2 linked regions of the Rattus norvegicus genome follow. The protein of the gene in region 1 interacts with the protein of each later gene in a pairwise test. Links are inferred from orthologs where the notes say so. Each region holds a gene or a part of one and is shown on either strand. Other genes may lie near its edges. The genes, in order: Ccdc172 and Fam13c.

Evidence for each region.
Region 2: the proteins of Ccdc172 (region 1) and Fam13c interact in binary tests that used the Homo sapiens proteins (3 or more experiments, as listed by UniProt). The two-hybrid records come from large-scale screens. The link is inferred for Rattus norvegicus from reciprocal best matches to the Homo sapiens genes CCDC172 and FAM13C.

What each region holds. Positions count from the first base shown.
Region 1 is NC_086019.1:267,611,091-267,620,998, reverse strand, and holds the start of Ccdc172 (coiled-coil domain-containing protein 172), read right to left. Parts: upstream 5,636-9,908; 5' UTR 5,586-5,635; intron 5,313-5,585; 5' UTR 5,267-5,312; coding exon 5,188-5,266; intron 4,961-5,187; coding exon 4,875-4,960; intron 1-4,874.
Region 2 is NC_086038.1:18,083,191-18,092,603, reverse strand, and holds part of Fam13c (protein FAM13C), read left to right. Parts: intron 1-3,248; coding exon 3,249-3,459; intron 3,460-4,767; coding exon 4,768-4,906; intron 4,907-9,413.

The sequences.
Region 1 (9,908 bases):
CTCCTTCCAGGCTAGATTTGGGAAGACCGCAAAGGACCTGAACAGTGCTGAGGGAGGGATGGGGCCGGCATCCACAGTGACAAGGGCAGAATGAGCAGAGGCTTCATGATCTCCTTTCGCAGCTTTAATAAATGGCCCCTCTCGCCCCTTTCAGACTTGTTTATGTGAGAAGAGAAAACCTAACCACTATTGAGTGAAGCCACAAGGGTTAGAGGTTATAACCAATAAAGCCAGGAATCAATGCTGGGTTTCCAGTTAAGTCTGCAGCAACCAAAAGTTACTAAAACAGAATTTCTGCTGTGACATAAGCTGACAGAGTCCTCTGTTTTTAAGTAAATTTTAATCAACAATAAAACCATGTAGAAGCAACACAGAAAATTTCCTCTAATGCATACATTTCACATCGGCTAAATACTTGCATCTCACAACTATAAAGGACAATGATTCCTGGTGCTGTTCTCTCCTTGACATGTTAAGTCTATACCAAAGCATGATTTCTCAAGTTCTGAGAGGCAGGGTTCTGACTTCACCAATCAGAAGGCAGAACATCTACATTTCTAAGAAAAAATGTAAATGGGCCATTTTGCTACTCCATTCCAAAATATTTTCTTTAAAATTCATAAAACATTATTCTATTGTTCTTCAGATATTTCTGAATACATAAAAATAATATTAATCAGACTGAGCAGGTCCTAATTAGGAATGTATCTACACACATATATATACATACATGCAATAAAAAATGGTCATGAGTTTGGGGGGTAACTATATGGGATGGTTCAGAGGAAGAAAGGGAAAGGGGACTGTTGTAATTATAACTGCAAAATTAAGGAAGTTAAAAAAAGACATTTATCCAATAAGTTGAAAAAGGAAAATATGTAAAATATGCTAATACAGCCTAAGCCTTCCCTGCTTTCCCTCTCACAGGAATATGGCACAGCACTGGGCTTATATAAGATGCTTATAAAAACTACTCAAACTATAATTACATACCAATTTTCACATATAAGAAACTCAGTGACTTGCTTCTGAGAAACTACAATAGTTTTACAAGCCTCAATTTTAGTCTCAGACATCAACATAGACGACTGAGGTTTGAGGCACCTTGGCAAGCCTCAGTGTAGACTACACCATGCTCCCATTCTCAACGCAGACCACACTGTGCTCTCATTTCAGTGTAGACCACACTGTGCTCCCACTCTCAGTGCAGACCACACCATGCTCCCATTTCAGAGTAGACCTCACCATGCATTCTCAGTGCAGACCACACCAAGCTCCCACTCTTCCCTTTTCACAGGCCAAGCTTAACCAGGCGCACTGTAGCTGTCCACGTCACTTAAAGCACTCCTGTGATCTGAGACTGCTTGCTCCCATATATTTCATGAGACTCATCCAGCCCTGAAAGACAGATGCTATCATTCAAGTTCTAATTGCAAGCTACTTAGGTTCTACAGAACAAGGGGGGAAAGAATACTGCACTTCCTAAAATACGCTTTTTGACTTCAAGCAGTTCCCTAAATGTAAGCCCAAATATTTTTTGAGCATGTGAGTATACAATAGCTCACGTGTTGCTCTAGGGTCTCCTCATGCTACTTGTTTGATAAATGGGTCAATAAACACCAAGTCAAATGTCCAAGTAAATATATTTTCATTGTTATTGGCAGATATATAATTAACTCTGAGGAAAAAGAAACAGAGAATCAATTTATGATTACTTCTTTAGCTCTTCCCATTACTCATTTACTTTAGCTTCTTAGTTCTGTTTAAATCTTAATACACACGTACCATCTTGACTCTAATTATAAATCAAATTACCTCAATTACAAATCAGTGTTGTATGAACTGTGACCCACATATGCTAGTTTTATTAGTAAGATACAATTATATTATTACCCATGCATATGAGCTGATTAAAAACAAATGCACATTTATGAGCCTGTATTAATTAGCAATTTCATGAATGCTTTTAAGTAATATTAGAGATTTGCTATGTTTTCTCTAGCACAAACAATTAAATCAACATTTTCTTTATACATGTGTAGTATCAACACTACATTTCTATTTTCAGGTGAAATAGGCTGCTAACAAAAGATATTATACAGAATAATAATTTGTCTTGCAAAGGAAACATTACAAAGAAAAAAACATCTCATTTAATTTTTTTTCTTTTTTTTCCAGAGCTGGGGACTGAACCCAGGACCTTGCGGTTGCTAGGTAAGCGCTCTACCACTGAGCTAAATCCCCGACCCCTAAACATCTCATTTAAAATGAAACATTTCCTACCTGTCAGGTCAGTATCTTCACCAACCCCCAAAAAACACACCTTATACAACTTACATAAGTGATCTTTAAAATATCACCCCAGATGCAACACTTCAGACATATTATTGTATGTCGTGGGGAAAAATGTTCAATGCAAGCTCAAGAATCTGTTTTAATAGAGTAATATTTTCCTTAACCAATTGTTACTGTGGTAGTTATTTGGTTTTCTATTACATACCATGAACAAATCATTTAAATGATGTCTCAGCTTCCTTGCCTGTAAATGGGGAATGATTACTCCTCCTCTCAGAGTTCCTGTTAGAACTAAAGGGGTTAATCAGCCCTTGAATAATACCCTGCACGTGGGCACTTAGCTGCTGAGACCCTGGGAGTAGAGAGGGGTTGAACGCCCCACACCACCCATGTAGAGTATGTGTGTGGTGTGTATACATGTGTGTGTGCATATGTGTGGGGTGTGTGTGCACATATGTGGGCTGTGGGGGTGGGATATGTGTGTGTGTACATGTGTGTGTATGAGTGATGTGTGTGTATGTGTTTGGGTGACATGTGTCTACGCCTGCATGTGTATGTATGTGGTATGTGGTATGTGTGTGTATATTTGTATATGGTATGTGTGTGCATGTGCATATGATATGTGTGTAGTATGGTGTATATGTAGTGTGTTGTGTGTGATATATGTGTGGTATGGCATGTATGTAGTGTGTGTGTTGTGGTGTGTGGCATATGTGTGTGCATGTGTGTGGGGGATGTGTGCTTGTGTATGTATGTGGTGTGTGTGGTGGTTATGGTATGTGGTGAGTGTGTGCATGTGTATGAGTGTGTATGTTCCTTTTCTTCTGTTGACTTCTATTTGCCAACCCAACTTTCAAAGCATCTTAAGTCTTCTTCCAGGGAAAGACAGCTACATGAAGGTGCTGTACACCTTTGCCCATGCCACCAGGATTCCCCACTGCCGCTGGCCTACTTTCTCTTTTAGTCCAGAAGTAAGAGCTGGGCTCAATGAATACTCACCCCACATTCTGTCTTAAAAGATAGTTTCTTTTAGTTAAGGGGCAGAGAGGAAAGGTTGGTTGGTTGGTGGGTACTCAGAGTTAGGAGGGATAAAGGCTGGTATTCGACTACACAGAAGGATGGCTACAGTTAATGACCTAGACGACGAACTTTGAAGATTTGTAATATTTTCACCACAGTCAGGATAAATGTTGGCACGGATATATTAATCTGGAGCTGAGCATTACAAAATGCATAACAAATAACATGGAAGCCATAAACATGCCCAACCTTTATTTGTCGAATTATCAAGACCGAGCTCTTTTCTTGTTACTGGCCCTCAGTAGTGAATGCACCTGTGTACAGTGTTGGCTCAGCAACAGATACCAAGAGAATAAAGGTGAATTTAAAACAAAACTAAGTACATTCCTCCCAAAGAAAGAGGGGCTGCAAACAGGAGCGCATGTTGACACTTAGATTTTACAGAGCTGTCCAGGGAGGGTTTTATGATGCATGACAGGATGCAGAGAGAAGAGAGGCCGTTCACCAGGTGGTGAACGGGCAAGAATTGTTTTATCCACAGGAAAATGAAAATTCCTCACAAATATACGCTGTTATTAGAGTAATATAATGTATAAATAAATTTATAACTTACATCCCTTTTACATACAAATTTATATTTAATATGTGATAAAATTAAAAATGTATTAACAAAAAAAAAAAGTCTGAGTGATCAAGTCACTAGACTGCCTCTATGCACTGCTGCCTTAGTTCACCTTCAGGTGTTGGGACATTACTATTGGACATCTGATTCCTCCTTCCAGACCTAGGCCTCTAGCTCTCACCATCTTCACTGTCCATCCCCATCTCTGTGCTCAGAGCACAAGGAGCTCCCCTAACAGCACATTTACTGCCCCTCTCTGGTCAAATCTAGCAACGTTTCCCTCCCAACTCTACTCCGCCGCCCTCTGCTGGCTGTCCAGAGTCCTCTCTCAATGTGCCTGGGGAAGAACCGCCCCCTCTTTGCTACAAAGGGTCTCTCCTACTAAGTCTCTTTTCTCCCTCAAAATTCTATCCATAGTTCAACCACTTCCTTGAAGCAGCCAGGCTCGCTCGGTCCTTACTTTTTAAAAGGCGGAACTTTACAAATGCGGCCGGAGAGAGAAATGAGAGAAAAGATAACTTAGGATGAGACAAGTCCAAAACTGTGGTAGTGAGTTGGAAAGCAGAAAGCCATCATTTGAAAGACACATACGATCCCATTACATCCACGGAGCACACTTAAATTACTTACTGTCTGACATTTATATGCTGCCCTGACTACTTATTGAACAATTATTCTTCCAATGACACTTTTCCTTATAAACATTAACCATCCCACAAAATGGACGGGGAATCCGTTAAGTCTGGATTCCTCCGGGCCACTTCCTGTTAAAAACCAAAGACCGTGGACTCAGAACCTTACACGCTAGACAACGCTGAATGACAGAATATAGCTGCTGAGTTTCCTAGTTGATGGATAAGTAGTTAGTAAATTGCTCCCCAAAGCCAAGTTCAGACACTTCCTCAAGTGATACTTAGCATGGTCTATGCATCCATACCTTGGATTCCAACTTGATCTTTTCTTCATTCAGATCCTCTGTTGCTTTCTTAATTTTCCCGCGACATCTGGCAATTTCTGACCTCACTGTAATACCAACAAAATCTTTACTGGCCTCCGCCTTTCTGAAGCCTCCATCACGGCAGCACTTGGCAGGTGAGTTTTCATCTGTCTTCTGTCCAGGTTGCAAACTCCACTTACAGTGCCCCCTTCCCCTCCAGTCTGTGGGGCAAACACCCAGGTCCAAAAGCCAAATGCCCCCCAAGAGCAAACCCCAGCTCCAAAAGCCAAATGCCCTCTAAGGGCAGGCTCACCTTCCCGCATCACTCTGCGGCTCTCCTCGGCCTGATGCTCAGTGAAGATGATGTGCTGAAACAACGACTCCAGACTCATCTCGGGCCAGCTCACCCTTAATATTTTATAAGGGAGTCTGAGGATCCTGGAAAGCACAATGAAGAGGGTTGTCTGGCTGTTCCCTGCCTGCACCACCCACTCTTGCCCAGCAGAGCCCCAGGGCAGGAGCTCTCGGCTTGTTCCTCCATGCTCGCCCAGAGCCGGGCCCATTCCTCCTCCATGTTCGCCCACAGCCCGGCGTGCTTCTGTGCTGAGTGCAGCCCCCACAGAAAAGGCCTGGGGGACAGATACAGTAACTTTGGCTGGGGACATGCTTCCCCTTCCCAACCCCCTCGCTTTCCCAGGAAAAGATGCCCACAGGCAGAGGCTGGCAACTGACGCCCCCTCAGGTGTGTCCAGCCAAAGGGGCCTCCACCGGCCTCGCGAGAAGTCATCTACGGAAGCCTGGTGGGACCAGTCTGCAGCGACCTGCGCTCACGGGTTCGGGGTCTTTCTAGAGGTGGGACTCCCAGTCTCCAAGTATTATAAAGTGCAAAGTACCCGTGATTCTAAATATAAACTTTTGCAAAGTCGTATCCTCGGAGGCTAGCAAAGACTCCTACAAATGTACAATGTCTGACATTCCACCGTAATCATTCCTTCGTAATCAAAGCATATCTTTTTTGTCTGCCCCGAAATTAATCACTGCCTTTTGTAATCAAGCCTTGGTAATATTAACACTTCGATATCTGTACAATGTGTGTCAGAGACCAAAGTGGTTGCTAATTAAGGCTTAAATGTGAAAGGCACCTTTGGGACTTTTGCATGATATTTTTTTTTTAATTAAGAAATATTTTCAGTTTTGGTAGGTCAAAATATTGACATTGTAATAAACATCTGACTTTACTCTGAATGTAAAACTGACACTGGCTAGACTTTTAAGAAGTAACTTTTAATGTGAAAGTTTGAATGTGCTTAAAATTAAGTAAAATGAAAATTTTGTCACATACACTAGGCTTAATTAATAGCCCACTAATGCCACAATATATTCAGTTAAAAACTTTAATCTATTCTATATTTCTACCTTAATTTTCATCTGGTCATGTCTGCATGAAGTTTAATGTTTGAACTATCAGAATACACACTGAAATTTGAAATAAAGTTAAAAAGAATTAATTACTCAGAGCTATTCAGAAGCTAGTACTGATGAAAATTTTCCCACTGTCTTTTGGGTATCCCTTGTTGACAAGCACTTTTTATTTAAAACCTTGAAGTCCCATGAATAAGGAATGATAACATTATTTTGTTACTTGTGTTTTGATTATAATTAGTAGTTCAATATTTATTATTTATTTGCTAAGCACTCACTTTCTGAACACACTACGTCTATTTAAGATGATTTTGACATTTCTTTTCTAATATAGTTAAGGTGACAGACTGACAGACTCAAAATATACCAGTAAAAATGAGGTCACCGAGCTACTTAGTTGAGTCACTATCTGAAATCTTGATGTGTATTCGTTCTTTTAATCAAGCCAGTTATCCTATTAGAACTATGTTTTTTGTTACTTGAAGGGCTAAGTAACTTGTCCACACTCACGATGGCTAGAATGTAGCCAATTCAGGATTGGAATCCTGTGTCTCAGGAAGAGGCATACTTTGTACAGGAAAGTAAATGGAGACCAAGAAAATGGGAGTTGAGAGTCATGGATTCAGCTGTTATTTTCTTACTATAACACAAACATAGTGGACTTTTGCCATTTCATTTAAAGCTCTTCATGAATGTACTTTGTACCTTTATAGTCCTCTGATACATGTGTGCATGTGTCTAGCTCAGATATAACCAAATTCTTCCATGTACTCAAGGATGGGAAATGACCGTTATTGTGCCTAGAACCATTTTCTTTGAGCACTCCTGTGGAGGTTCTTGAACTGTATCACAAATGCCATCAAAGGTAGAAGCTTTTCGAGATAGACTACAAGACTACTAGCATTGCCCCCTTCAGGGTGATTTCCTGTGGGCTTGCATGGGGGCTGTTCTCACAGAAAGGCAGGTTTCCAAGAACTTGATACTTTTTCAAGTTACAGCTTTATGAGTTGCACTCAAACTCTCTCTGTTATTTAACATGCTCCTGTCTGTACTGAAACTTGGCAGAGTGGATTCTGAAAGCCATTGGAAGCCCTCCTGCCCTTCTCACACAGGAGCACAGAAGAAAGTCACTGGAAATTCGAGAGGAGGGTGATGGGGAGAAATATCACTGTCAAGTTCTTCCCATCCCACAGCACTCTAGTGCCTTTAAATCTTGGTAGAATCTTCTTAGAGGTATTACAACTGCAGGCATTAGCTATGTTTTAAATTTTAATTTTGTTTACTGAGGTGCGTATAATTATGCAAGCCCACAGTTCAAACTCTACAGTTTTCATAATAATGAATTAAAGTAACATCAAATTAAGATATTAAAATCTAACTTTATTCATACATTGTGAATAGTGTTAAGACTTTTTTCCCCTCTTATAGCAATGCATGCTGATTGCATCTCATAATGTACAGAGCAAGAGTGGTATTATTTAAATTTATGCCAAATAAAAATGGTATATGACATGATAAAGCTTTGTGGGCATACTACTTTCTGAAAATGTATCTTCTGAATCTAAAAATGGGAAATGATTCATCCGACAACTGTTTAATGAGCTCCTGCTTTTCATTCAACATTCATTCAACAAATATTACTGAACAGTTCCTATGCACCATGTTAGAGAAACAACTGCAAGATTTAATAAAAACAGCTACATTAAAAAAAAAGTTCTTTCTCCCCCTGGATAATTCTAACCTCAATGGAGAATTATTATATTTTACAGCATTTTGGCAGCAGGATAAACAATTGCTCTCAGATGCTACGGCAGATGTTCTTTAGAAAGGAAGCCAGTTATTTGCATTATGACGCCCACACATGATTCTCAGACCTAAACTTCCCATCTGTGCACATTTCAGTGAATTGCCTACCTTTGGAACACGAGTGAGGATCCCTCATTGTCCCTGCCCTCGGATGCTTCTCTCGATCGCTTAGCACCTGGGCTGTGCAGTCATCAATGATTGTTTTGCTAGGAGGCCTTATACAGGGCTCTATTGCTCTTTGATTTAAATGCGTCTCTTCCTCTTTCTTAGATTGATGACTTTCCTAACCCAGGCTTCAGAATACCCACTAGCCGGGGGCATGTGTGTCGCGATGAAAGGAGGGAAAAGTAATTCATTTATTTTATGTTTTTCTGAGGGCATCTACCATAAAGAAAAAATTATGGGTTTAACTAAGTTGAATTACCATTCATTGAGTGTCTACTAAGTCTAGAGTTTTCCCCTGGGTATTAAGAAGGCTACAAAGTTGGAAAGATGCCTGCTCTCCTCTCCTTGGAAGGTCACCGTCAGTCAAATGGGGTAGGGGTTAGCTTGAGAATAAGGCTCTAGGTAATATTTTTCACACCTCCACTTTCAAAACATGGTAGAGGAGAGGTGATATGTCTGGTACAGGCAATCTAGGGAGAGTTGCCAATAGAGAAAAAAGAAAGGGAGAAAGTTTAGTAGAAAAGAAAAGGGAAAGGCAGAAAGACATATGGGACCAGCATTAGGTGTTTTGCATTTTCACGAGTCCATATAGGTTATTCAGTGCTTCCAATGTGTGAGTGGAACGTCCACATTGATGTGCAGAATAAGTTGACTCCACTGGGTTAGAAGCAGTAAGGGAATGGGACTACTGGCTTGAATATTGAGTAGTGCACTGTCTTAGTCCATTTGGGCCACCATCACCACATGACACAAGCTGGGTCACTTACATTGGAAATGTATTCCTCACCATTAGGAAGCAGTGAAATCCAACATGATGGTGTCTGAGCACTCAGGATTGGCCTGTTTCCTAGTTCACAGACACCTAGTGAACTCTCAGAAACTAGGAAAGACTTGTTAGAGCTGCGTGGCATTTTTTATAGGAACACAAATTTCAATCAGGCCAGCCCCGCCCCCCTTGTCTAATTGGCTCATCAAGCTGCACATGTAGTAGCATCAGCTTCTGAGTTAGAGTCAGACAAGTGGAGAGATGGACACGCCCATACCAGGATCCTCATTGGGTGCCAACCACTGTAATCAACTCACGCTCACTGTGTGCCGAACCTGTGGGCGTCACCAATGAATGAACCTTCATAATCAACCCAGCCACCTGATGAGAACAGAGCTTAGAGAGCTGGGTAGCTTGTCCACAGTATGGGAGCCGGAGGGAAGGAACACAATCAGGACATGTGAGCTTCTTCAGTCTCTGAAACCTCCAGATGGGAGGTAAGATGTCTTCAGCATCTGTTACATTTAGATACCTCCAAAAAAAAAAAATTGCTTACTGCCAATCCAAATCTATAAAAGCAATCGCAGGTATATATCTCATATTTTAATATGAATTTAAATAAAATGCGAATGAAAGAAATGTAGCCGTGAGTTGAAGTTGGTGGTGCATGCCTTTAATCCTAGCACTCAGGAGGCAGAGCCAGGCAGATCTCTGTGAGTCTGAGGTCAGCTGGGGTTACAGAGGTAGACTCGGTCTCAGAGGAAAAAAAAAAGTGTTAATGGGCCATGTCTTCAGAAACATATTTAACCCTCTGTGTATTGTTGCTGTAACTACTTAATCTCAGACCCCAAGTTTGGGAACCGAAACTCTGCCTA
Region 2 (9,413 bases), on another chromosome or scaffold:
TCAAGAACCCCAGCTGCAGGCTGGAGAGATGGCTCAGCGGTTAAGAGCACTGACTGCTCTTCCAGAGGTCCTGAGTTCAATTCCCAGTGACCACATGGTGGCTCACAACCATCTGTAATGGGATCCAATGCCCTCCTCTGGTGTGTCTGAAGGCAGCAACAGTGTACTTATATATAATAAATCTTAAAAAAAAAAACCAAAAAAACAGCCTCAAATTTTATATTACTGTGGGTTTTCTTTTTCTATGATTTATGATACATATGTTACCGAGATTTTTGGAAGTTATAAATAAGAATGTCGGGGTTGGGGATTTAGCTCAGTGGTAGAGCGCTTGCCTAGGAAGCGCAAGGCCCTGGGTTCGGTCCCCAGCTCCGGGAAAAAAAGAACCAAAAAAAAAAAAAAATAAGAATGTCTTTTGTGCTTGCCTGAGTACTCCATTTGTAAGTGGAGTACTGTGTTGCTTGTCCGTAGAGCAGATCTCCTCTTGTGTCTTTTCACAGCCCTGTGTGTTTTATACAAGGAAACAGAAGGAAGCCAGCAAACTGGCTGAATCCGCCCCTACCCACCCAGCATACAGTTACCAGGCTCTTGGCTCCCATCCCCTTCCCCGTAACGTATCATGCCGTGGACCCTGGCAAGCTGCCCCTTACTTCGGAAGAAACAAAGATCATGTCCTTAGGATTCTGGAGAAGCCACCAAGCTCTAGGTGGCCACACGCTTCTCCCTCTGCTGCAGTTGGTTGGAAAGGGGCTGCAAACTCTGTTCCCAGATGGCAGCACTGGCTTCGAGTCCTGCCTTGGCCTCTTTTGAACAGAGAGCCTGGTGAATCTGTCTACACAAGTATATACACAAATACACTTGCCAACTGATTTAATTAAACTTCTTCTCAATTCAAATGGTATGTTTGGACAAGAAATTACCAGTTGTAGTCATCCTCTAGAGGAACAGAACCTATAGATTAGTGTACATTCTCTCTCTCTCTCTCTCTCTCTATATATATATATATATATATACATATATAATATATAGTATATGACATATTTAATACATAATACTATAATGCTATAATTTAATATATAATTCTATATACATATATACATACGCATATACACTAAACATATGTATACATATACGCATCTACACATACATATACATATATGTATACTATATTATATATGTATATCATACATTTATGCATGTGTGTATATGTTTATATATACACATATATACACATATGTATATACATATTTTATATGTATATGTATATATGCACAGTATATAATATACACAATTACATATTATATTATACAATGTACATGTATTATATAATATGCATAGATGTATATTGTATATTTATATTTTATATATGTTCATATATAAACATAAATGTATATGTATATGCACATATATTTATATATACATACACACACATATATAAACGAGATTTATTAAGACAGTTTACAGGTTATCTATATTCCAACAAAGGCTTGTCTACAAATTGAAGGTCTACGAATTCAATAGTTCTTTCAGTCCACAAGGCTGGATGTCTCAGCTGGTTTTCACTGTGCTCCACAATCCTGAAGAAATAGACTGTAACGGCAGTGAAAGGGTGAACTTGCCAGCAAGATTGAGAGCCAGAAGCCAGAGAGCAAGCTTCCTTCTCCCATGTCCCCTAGATAAGGCTGTCAGCAGGAGGCGTGCCCCAGATTAGAAGTGTGTCTTCCCACCTCCAAGGATCTGGATTAAAGCCGTGTATCTGCATCTCAAATGATTTAAATCTGGGCCGGGTGTAGTGGCACACATTTTTAGTCCCGGAATTTGAGAGGCAAAGGGGGGTGGTAGATCTGTGAGCTCGAGACTAGACTCAAGTGTTTCAGGGATCCTCTGGGAGCATGCCTACCTTTCATCTCCCCCTTAGCACAGGGGAATCTGGACTGGCCCTAATGGGCACTAAGGACCTAAATTAGGAGGGACGGGGAGGAGGTCACACCGAGAATCAGGCTCAGAGCTGGCCTGCGGGGGTGGGGTGGGGTGGGGGGGACCCTGCAGCAGGCTTTGCTTTCATTTTGATTTTGTCCAAAGCACAGTTATGTAATATTTTAGAAAGCAGAACAGCCATTCCTAACTCTGTATATTGGAGTTACTGTGTAATCTCTTTGGTTTCTCCTATGAATGTATGCATGCATGCATGTATGTATGCATGCATGCATGTATGTGTGTACATACGTACACATGTATGCATCTATCTATCTATCTATCTATCTATCTATCTATCTATCTATCTATCCATCCATCTCTCCCTCCTTTCTTTTTTCTTCTCTTTTCTTCCTTTTTGTTTTAGGGTTTTATTACATATACTTGTATGTATGTGTGCTTGCACGCATGATGTCAGGACACATGTGAGAATGACTTTGATTTGGATTTGGTTTCCTTCTCCAGCCATGTGGGTGCCAGCGGTTGAACTCAGCTCCCTCAGCCTTGACCTTTGCCCACCGATGCAGCCATCTTCTCCCTGGCCTGGAGTATCACTCCCGTGCTGTGAACTTTGTGCTTTCTGCCGGGCACGCTCTGCGCACTGTGCATGCTGAAATGGCCTCGAGTTGGAGACTGACTCCTCCTCCCTCTTCTTCCTCTCTTCCTACCTGGCAGATAGTTCTGTTAACCCCCTTTTTCCTCACAGCCTGTATCTGGTACCCAAACTCTGATTCACCCTTAGCTTCTCTCCGCGTACCCTCCGACTCACTCAGATAACATCCAGTGAGATCCTTGTGCTGTGCTGGCCGGGACAACTCCTTCTGGAATTGTCTTCCAACACCTTTGTCGGTGGCTCTGTAATATTTTCCATCCAGGTTTTGCGCGAACAAACATGACAGTGTTTTGAAAGCTTTTCGTCTCTCCAGAAGGGAGACGCGACAGAAACAAGCCACTGACGTTATGATCCACGACAGAAACAAGCCGTTACCACTGACACTACAATCTTTTTTTTTTTTTTAAATTTTATTTTATTGTATATGAGTACACTGTAGCTGCCTTCAGACACACCAGAAGAGGGCATCAGATCCCATTACAGATGGTTGTGAGCCACCATGTGGTTGCTGGGATTTGAACTCAGGACCTCAGGAAGAGCAGCCGGTGCTCTAACCACTGAGCCACCTCTCCAGCCCGACACTACGATCTTATTTAGGAACACGGCAGCCTCGAGCTCTCTGGTCACTTCTAAGCCTGGATCTCTCATCTCGTCTCCCCAGACCCCGTGCCAGCTCATAAGGATGCACAGGGCGACGCCGACGGTACGCCGGATGACCTCCAGTCTGCAGGGACCAGCCGGCTGCTCCATCACATCACAGATGGCGACAATCCGTTGCTCTCGCCACGATGCTCCATCTTTAGCCAAAGTCAGAGGTTCAACCTGGACCCCGAGTCAGCTCCATCCCCACCCAGCAGCCAGCAGTTTATGATGTAAGGAGGCCTACGTCTTCGCTTCCTGCAGTTTCCCCCAAAGACCTTCATAGCACTACAGTGAAATTCAGCTCTGAAATAGGGCAGACGTGCCCGTGGGTTACTCCGTCAGACCGTGATAAAGCAAGGCTTCTCTCTCACTCCCGTTGGCAATACCGTTCTTTTACCGAGGTGTGGGGGGTCCCAGAGAGAGACGGTCACAAGGATCAAAAGACACGTTGGGTGCTTCGGAAAGAGTGAAGAAGCGTGTGTCTTTGCACACTTCTTTTTTTTTTTTTTTTTTTTTTTGGTTCTTTTTTTTCGGAGCTGGGGACCGAACCCAGGGCCTTGCGCTTCCTAGGCAAGCGCTCTACCGCTGAGCTAAATCCCCAGCCCTTGCACACTTCTAAAGTGTCATTCTTAGTTAGCTCAGTGTGTTTCCCAGGCCCAACAGTAGAGGGAAATATACATTGGCAAGTTTCCCCTTCAGCAGCTTGTTAGGTTCCAGAAAAGTAGTATCCCGAAATAACCACGGTCCTCCCCAGAGTCAACGGGCAGCTAGCATAGCAGTCTCCCTCTGTCCGTGCCAGACGTGACCTCCGCATCGGTCATTGAGCAGCATCCCCCTGTGTGCCCAGAAGTGTTCCCCTGCCCCCGTCTGCTTGGGGTCAGTTCTGGGATCTGTGTTGTGGTCCACTCTAGCTTTGCGCAAATACTTTTGACGCGTAGTAAAAAGGAAGACGCCCCTGGCCGAAGCCTGCTCTCTTTCCATGCCCCTAGCGCCTCTCCCGCGGCTTAACTGCCGTTGTTGAGTTTATCCAGGGATCATGGATGATGAACAGGGCGGGCAGAGTGAGTCACCGCAGTCGCATGGAAATTTGCGGGTCATGTTGAGACTGTGGAAATATTGTCTGGAGAGAGAGCCACTCCTTCTGACATATTTGAAAGGGTTTCCCTATGTCAGAATAGTTAACTACCCATTTAAGGCTTGCTTTGAAAACGCCATTAGGTGCAGCTTGCACAACCTGTTGAAGGGCGCACCTCAGCAGGGCCTCTCTTCTGAGTCCCAGGTCGGCCTCACTCTGCTTTGAAATATGCATCTCTTGTGCTGATATTTTGACGTTTGTATACAAAAGAGTCCCCAACAAGATCATCAGCCCATATTGCATGTCACAAGGTCAGAGGTCAACCCAAGGGATGACTTGGTACACTAGCCGCGTAAGGAGCTGCCGCCTGGAATTCTGTGATCTCCCAGGGTTCAGAGGTCAGGCAGCCATGCTCACTGAGACCCTTTCTGAAACTCTTTGTCCGTCTGTATAACCATGGCAGGCCACGAAGCTCTTCCCGATGCGGTGGTGGGGATGGCAAGGAGCCCCAGACCATTACGCAGCTCACTAAGCACATCCAAAGCCTCAAGAGGAAGATTCGGAAGTTTGAAGAGAAATTTGAACAAGAAAAGAAATACCGCGTAAGTACCCCAGGGTTTAACGGGAAGGCCCAGATTGTGTCTGGGAAGCATGCCGGTTTTTCTTGGGTCTCCATCCCTTGGTTGTGGCTGCTCCCTTCCTTGCTGGAGGACAGCTCTGTATCCACTGGTCACCCATACCCCACACCAAGAGCTGAGCTTAATTGAATCCGATGGCGAGTCTGTCCTGCTCTCACCTGTAGGCAGCTAACCTCTGTTAGGAGACTTCCCACTCGCTATAGCTCTTATTTCCCTGGTCTTTCTGAGCATCCTTATTGACACTATGTTTTCTTTAATTAATTAATTAGTTAGTTAATTAATTGACTTTACATGCCAATACCCCCCTCACATAGATCCTTTCCCCATTCCTCCCTTCTTTGAGAAGTGGAGCTCCCATCTGGGTATCACCCATTCACTACTCTCCCCACTTAGACCCCACCCCCTGCCCCCGGCACATCAAGTCACTGCAGGACTAGGCACATCCTCTCCCACTGAGGCCAGATGAGGCAGCCCAGTTAGGGGGACAGGATCCACAGGCAGGCAACAGATTCCAAAGGACATGCAGGACAGGAGCTTATCATAACTGCCCTCTGAGATGCTCTACCAAGCAGCCAATGGAAAGCGATGCAGAGACCCCACAGTAGATGGGATCTTGTGGAAGAGTTGGGGGGAGGATTAAGGGACCCCACGAGGACAGGGATTCCGAAGGAAGACCAACAGAGTCAACTAACTAGGTTTTCTAGATCGAAAATTTGGAGAGCTTCCTGTTGCACTTCCTTCACCCCTGTGCTGATAAGAACTTTGGGACCCAAAACATGTTCTTCCTCGTAACTGAAGAATATAGTGATGGAGAATTTTGGGTTCTGTATGTTGGTTTTTTGTTTTTTTTTTGTTGTTGTTGTTTTGTTTTTGTTTTTGTTTTTGTTTGTTTGTTTTTGCCATGAAGGGACTTCACGGTGGGTGAGTGGTGACTTCTCAGGTGCTACCTGCCGAGGCCACTCACTAAAACCAAACAGAACCATCTTTCTCCAGCAGACCCCAGTCCTTCTGTGGGGCCAGCAGGGTTACCAGCATGGCTTTGTCTTCCCTCACACACGAAACCGCAGAATCACAGAGAAGTGTCTGTTTGACCAAAGGAGCCTATGTTTGCTTTCTTGGTGACCAAAGAGTAGAAAAAAAATTCAAGTTCACAGGGAGTTGCATAAAGACAGTGTGGGTCTCTGGCAGACAGCCCAGAACAGCTTGTTATTAGAATAAAACAGAGCAGGGAGCAATCTCTCAAACATCTTGAAATATTGAAAGGCTCCCTAAGCACTCGGTACAGAGGCAATCGGAAGGTGTCTGTGAGCGCGTGGTAAGTTTTGCAGCAGAGCGATGAGTGGGTAGTGGTCTGTTCCTCCCTTCCTGTCCTGCGTGGCTATGGCTTTGAAGAGAGAGTTTAGGGAGGGGCATCTAGTTTTATAGGAAGGGCGCCATCAGACTGACTTTTACGGCTGTCTGAACCAGGATGCTGCATGGTTTCCACTGAGCAGTCATGACTACTCTCTGTTCACGCAACAGGGTTGCCTCTGCCTACCGTCTCGGTCTTTATCCCGCAGATAAATAAGCCCCGATCCACTGAAGACTTCTAACTAGCTGTGAGCTATCTTTTGAGGCTTGGAGCAGTAAGTTAACAGAGAACAGACCTGAGTGGTGGTGTCGTAGGGTTCTTAGTGTCTATCTTGGGTAGCCCAGTGTTCTGGTAGGAGCTGGTTTCACCTTTGGTCTACTAGAGTTTACCAGACCACCATGATGGACAGCTCTGAGTGACAATGGGGAGTGACAATGGGGGTTCTATTTCGAGCTCGTTAACACCTCTGCCTTTCCTGAGTCTGACTGTTTTAGATTGTAATCCAACACAAAGCCCTGGCAGCCTCCTGTGTCTGCACACGCTACTTCCTATTCTGAGTCATACAGCAGTAACTGAAATTTGAGGACACTCTTGAAGGAACCAGTGTGACCCTTACAACCCTGCAGTGTTGGCTATGAAGGGAGCAAAAGGTCCTAGGTATCACCAACCTTTTAATCTGTCTGAGCAATACAAGCAGGCCACATGATGGGCTCTGTCTTGGGAGGAAAGGAAGGGGACCTGTGCACGTTAAATATGTACTGGGTCCCCACCTGTGCTGTGCACATGCATTATTTTTTTCTAAATCTTATGGCCACTGATGGTTGTCTGTCTTACTTAGGGAATTTCTCTTGGCATCTTTTACCCTGCCTTGAGAAGCTTCAAAGGCAATGAAAAGACAATCGGTCCCGTCACTCCCTGCCTCCTAAACGCATCCACACATGTACCCGCCCCCACACACATGCACCTACATGCACCTGCCCACATGCCCACATACACACGCATGCACGCACCTATCCATGCATACACGCATGCACACAGGCATGCACGAACAGAGGACAGGTATAGATGCTAGAGCAGTAGGCAGGGAGGGTTGATAATTCACTACATTAGTGTTTACCTTCCCCCCCCCACTTCAGTCAGCACCTTATATATCCTAGGAAATGGCATCTGGTTGTGCCTCTTGTCAGGTGCCAAGCTGTGGTCAGAAGCCTGGCAAGCCACCTGCCTGCTTTCCTTCTCATCCGTCGGACAGTGGTGTTACCAGCCTGCTGGTTGTTTCTGAACCTTAGCTCCTGCTGGGCATCTCGGCTTTTGGGATGTCTACATAAACACGTCTTTCTGTCTCTGCCAAATGTAGCCCTGGTTAGAAAGGGCAGTTCATCCAGATGTTCACTATGTTCTCTCTCTCTCTCTGTCTCTCTCTGTCTCTCTCTGTCTGTCTGTCTGTCTGTCTCTCTCTCTCTCTCTCTCTCTCTCTGTCTCTGTCTCTGTCTCTCTCTCTCTCTGTCTCTCTCTCTCTCTGTCTCTCTCTCTCTCTGTCTCTGTCTCTCACTTGGTTTTTCAAGACAGGATTTCTCTGTGTAGCCCTGGCTGTCCTAGAACTTGATTTGTAGAGCTGGCTAGCCTTGAACTCACAGAGATCCACCTGCCTCTGCCTCCTGAGGGGCTCAGATGTTCACTATTAATAGAACACCTTCGGGGTTGGGGATTTAGCTCAGTGGTAGAGCGCTTGCCTGGGAAGCGCAAGGCCCTGGGTTCGGTCCCCAGCTCCGAGAAAAAAAAAAAAAAAAAAAAGAACATGTTTAAACTGGGCAGAGCCAGCCAGACTTTTTCTTACCCAGTGACTGAAGAAACAGGCCCAGAGAGGTGACATGAATTTAAAGAGTCACACAGCCAAGAACCTAGTTAGGACAACTCAGGTCTTTTCATGGTCGACCAGAAGTCTTTCTAAAGTGTCTTATGAATGACCTTTCTTTGTAGGAATCTCCCACAACAGTATCTGCAACAGTAACCTGGTGGCCTCACTTTAATCACCCCTAACAAAGCCTGTAGTTGTGAGTTTGGGTGTCTGACCATAGATAGACATTTCCATTCAGGCACAAAGAGGCCTAAAAAAGCCGTTATGAATGTGTGGAAACTTCGGCGGCTTGGGCGCCATCTTCTACGCAACCTGAAGTTAACCTTAAGAGAGCTTCCCCAAGGGCAGAACCATCAAAAGAAAATTCATTTCTGCAACTGATTTCGGGCTTTCAAGTACTTTGCCATAAAATCCAGCTTCCGAGTCCTCCTCCACCCTGCGGATAGCAAAACACTTACTACCCTGTTGGTCACTGGCTTGAGCTCCTAGTGTGTTTTGTGTGTTTGGTGTATTCCTTTGGTGGTGTGTCGGGTAGATCCAGTGAGCTTCCCTTTTACCTGCGTACACACGTCCTTAGTCTGGAGAATCCTCTGAGGGTTCTAGAGTCCAAATGTAAAACTCGGGCTGTCAATATGTCTAGACAGCTAAGCCCAAAGAATTAGGCTTACACACCAGGGTTCTAAGCATAAGGCTTCCTTCCGGAGACCCTAAGTGGGATTCCATTAAGCAATGTCGTGTCCCATGTCGTCCCCCTCCTTCACTCCCCATGACCAAAGCTTTGGGCAGCCCGTGTCTCTGTCCATGGTTCTGGCAGTCTCGGGCTCCATCACGGGAGGGGCAGTGACTTTTCCTTCAGTCTTCCTTTCCACCTTGTTTTTCGATGTATGTTTCTGTGTCACCCCATAACTGACGGGATCATTCGCGGTGAACACAAACTCTTGTGTATCAGATGATGTCATGCAAAGCTTTTGTGTGTGCCTTTGTTAAGTACCCTGAATGTGCTCTGCCATCATCCTGCGTCTCTCACTGAAGACATCGCTCTGGTCGCACATCTTATGGGGGGAAGTGGGTCTTCACGGAGTGGCTATTAACAGTGCAGGCACAGGTACCTCTGTGAAAGAGGCCTCCCAGCCCTCCCAGCCAAGTTCCTAGGGTCGTCTCAGGTGGGGGTAACTCTCTTGAGCCTGCTTTTAAGTTAGCATGGTAGCTTTGGATGGAGATTTACATTATGATCTGTGGCATAGAGGGAAAGGGTATGTTGC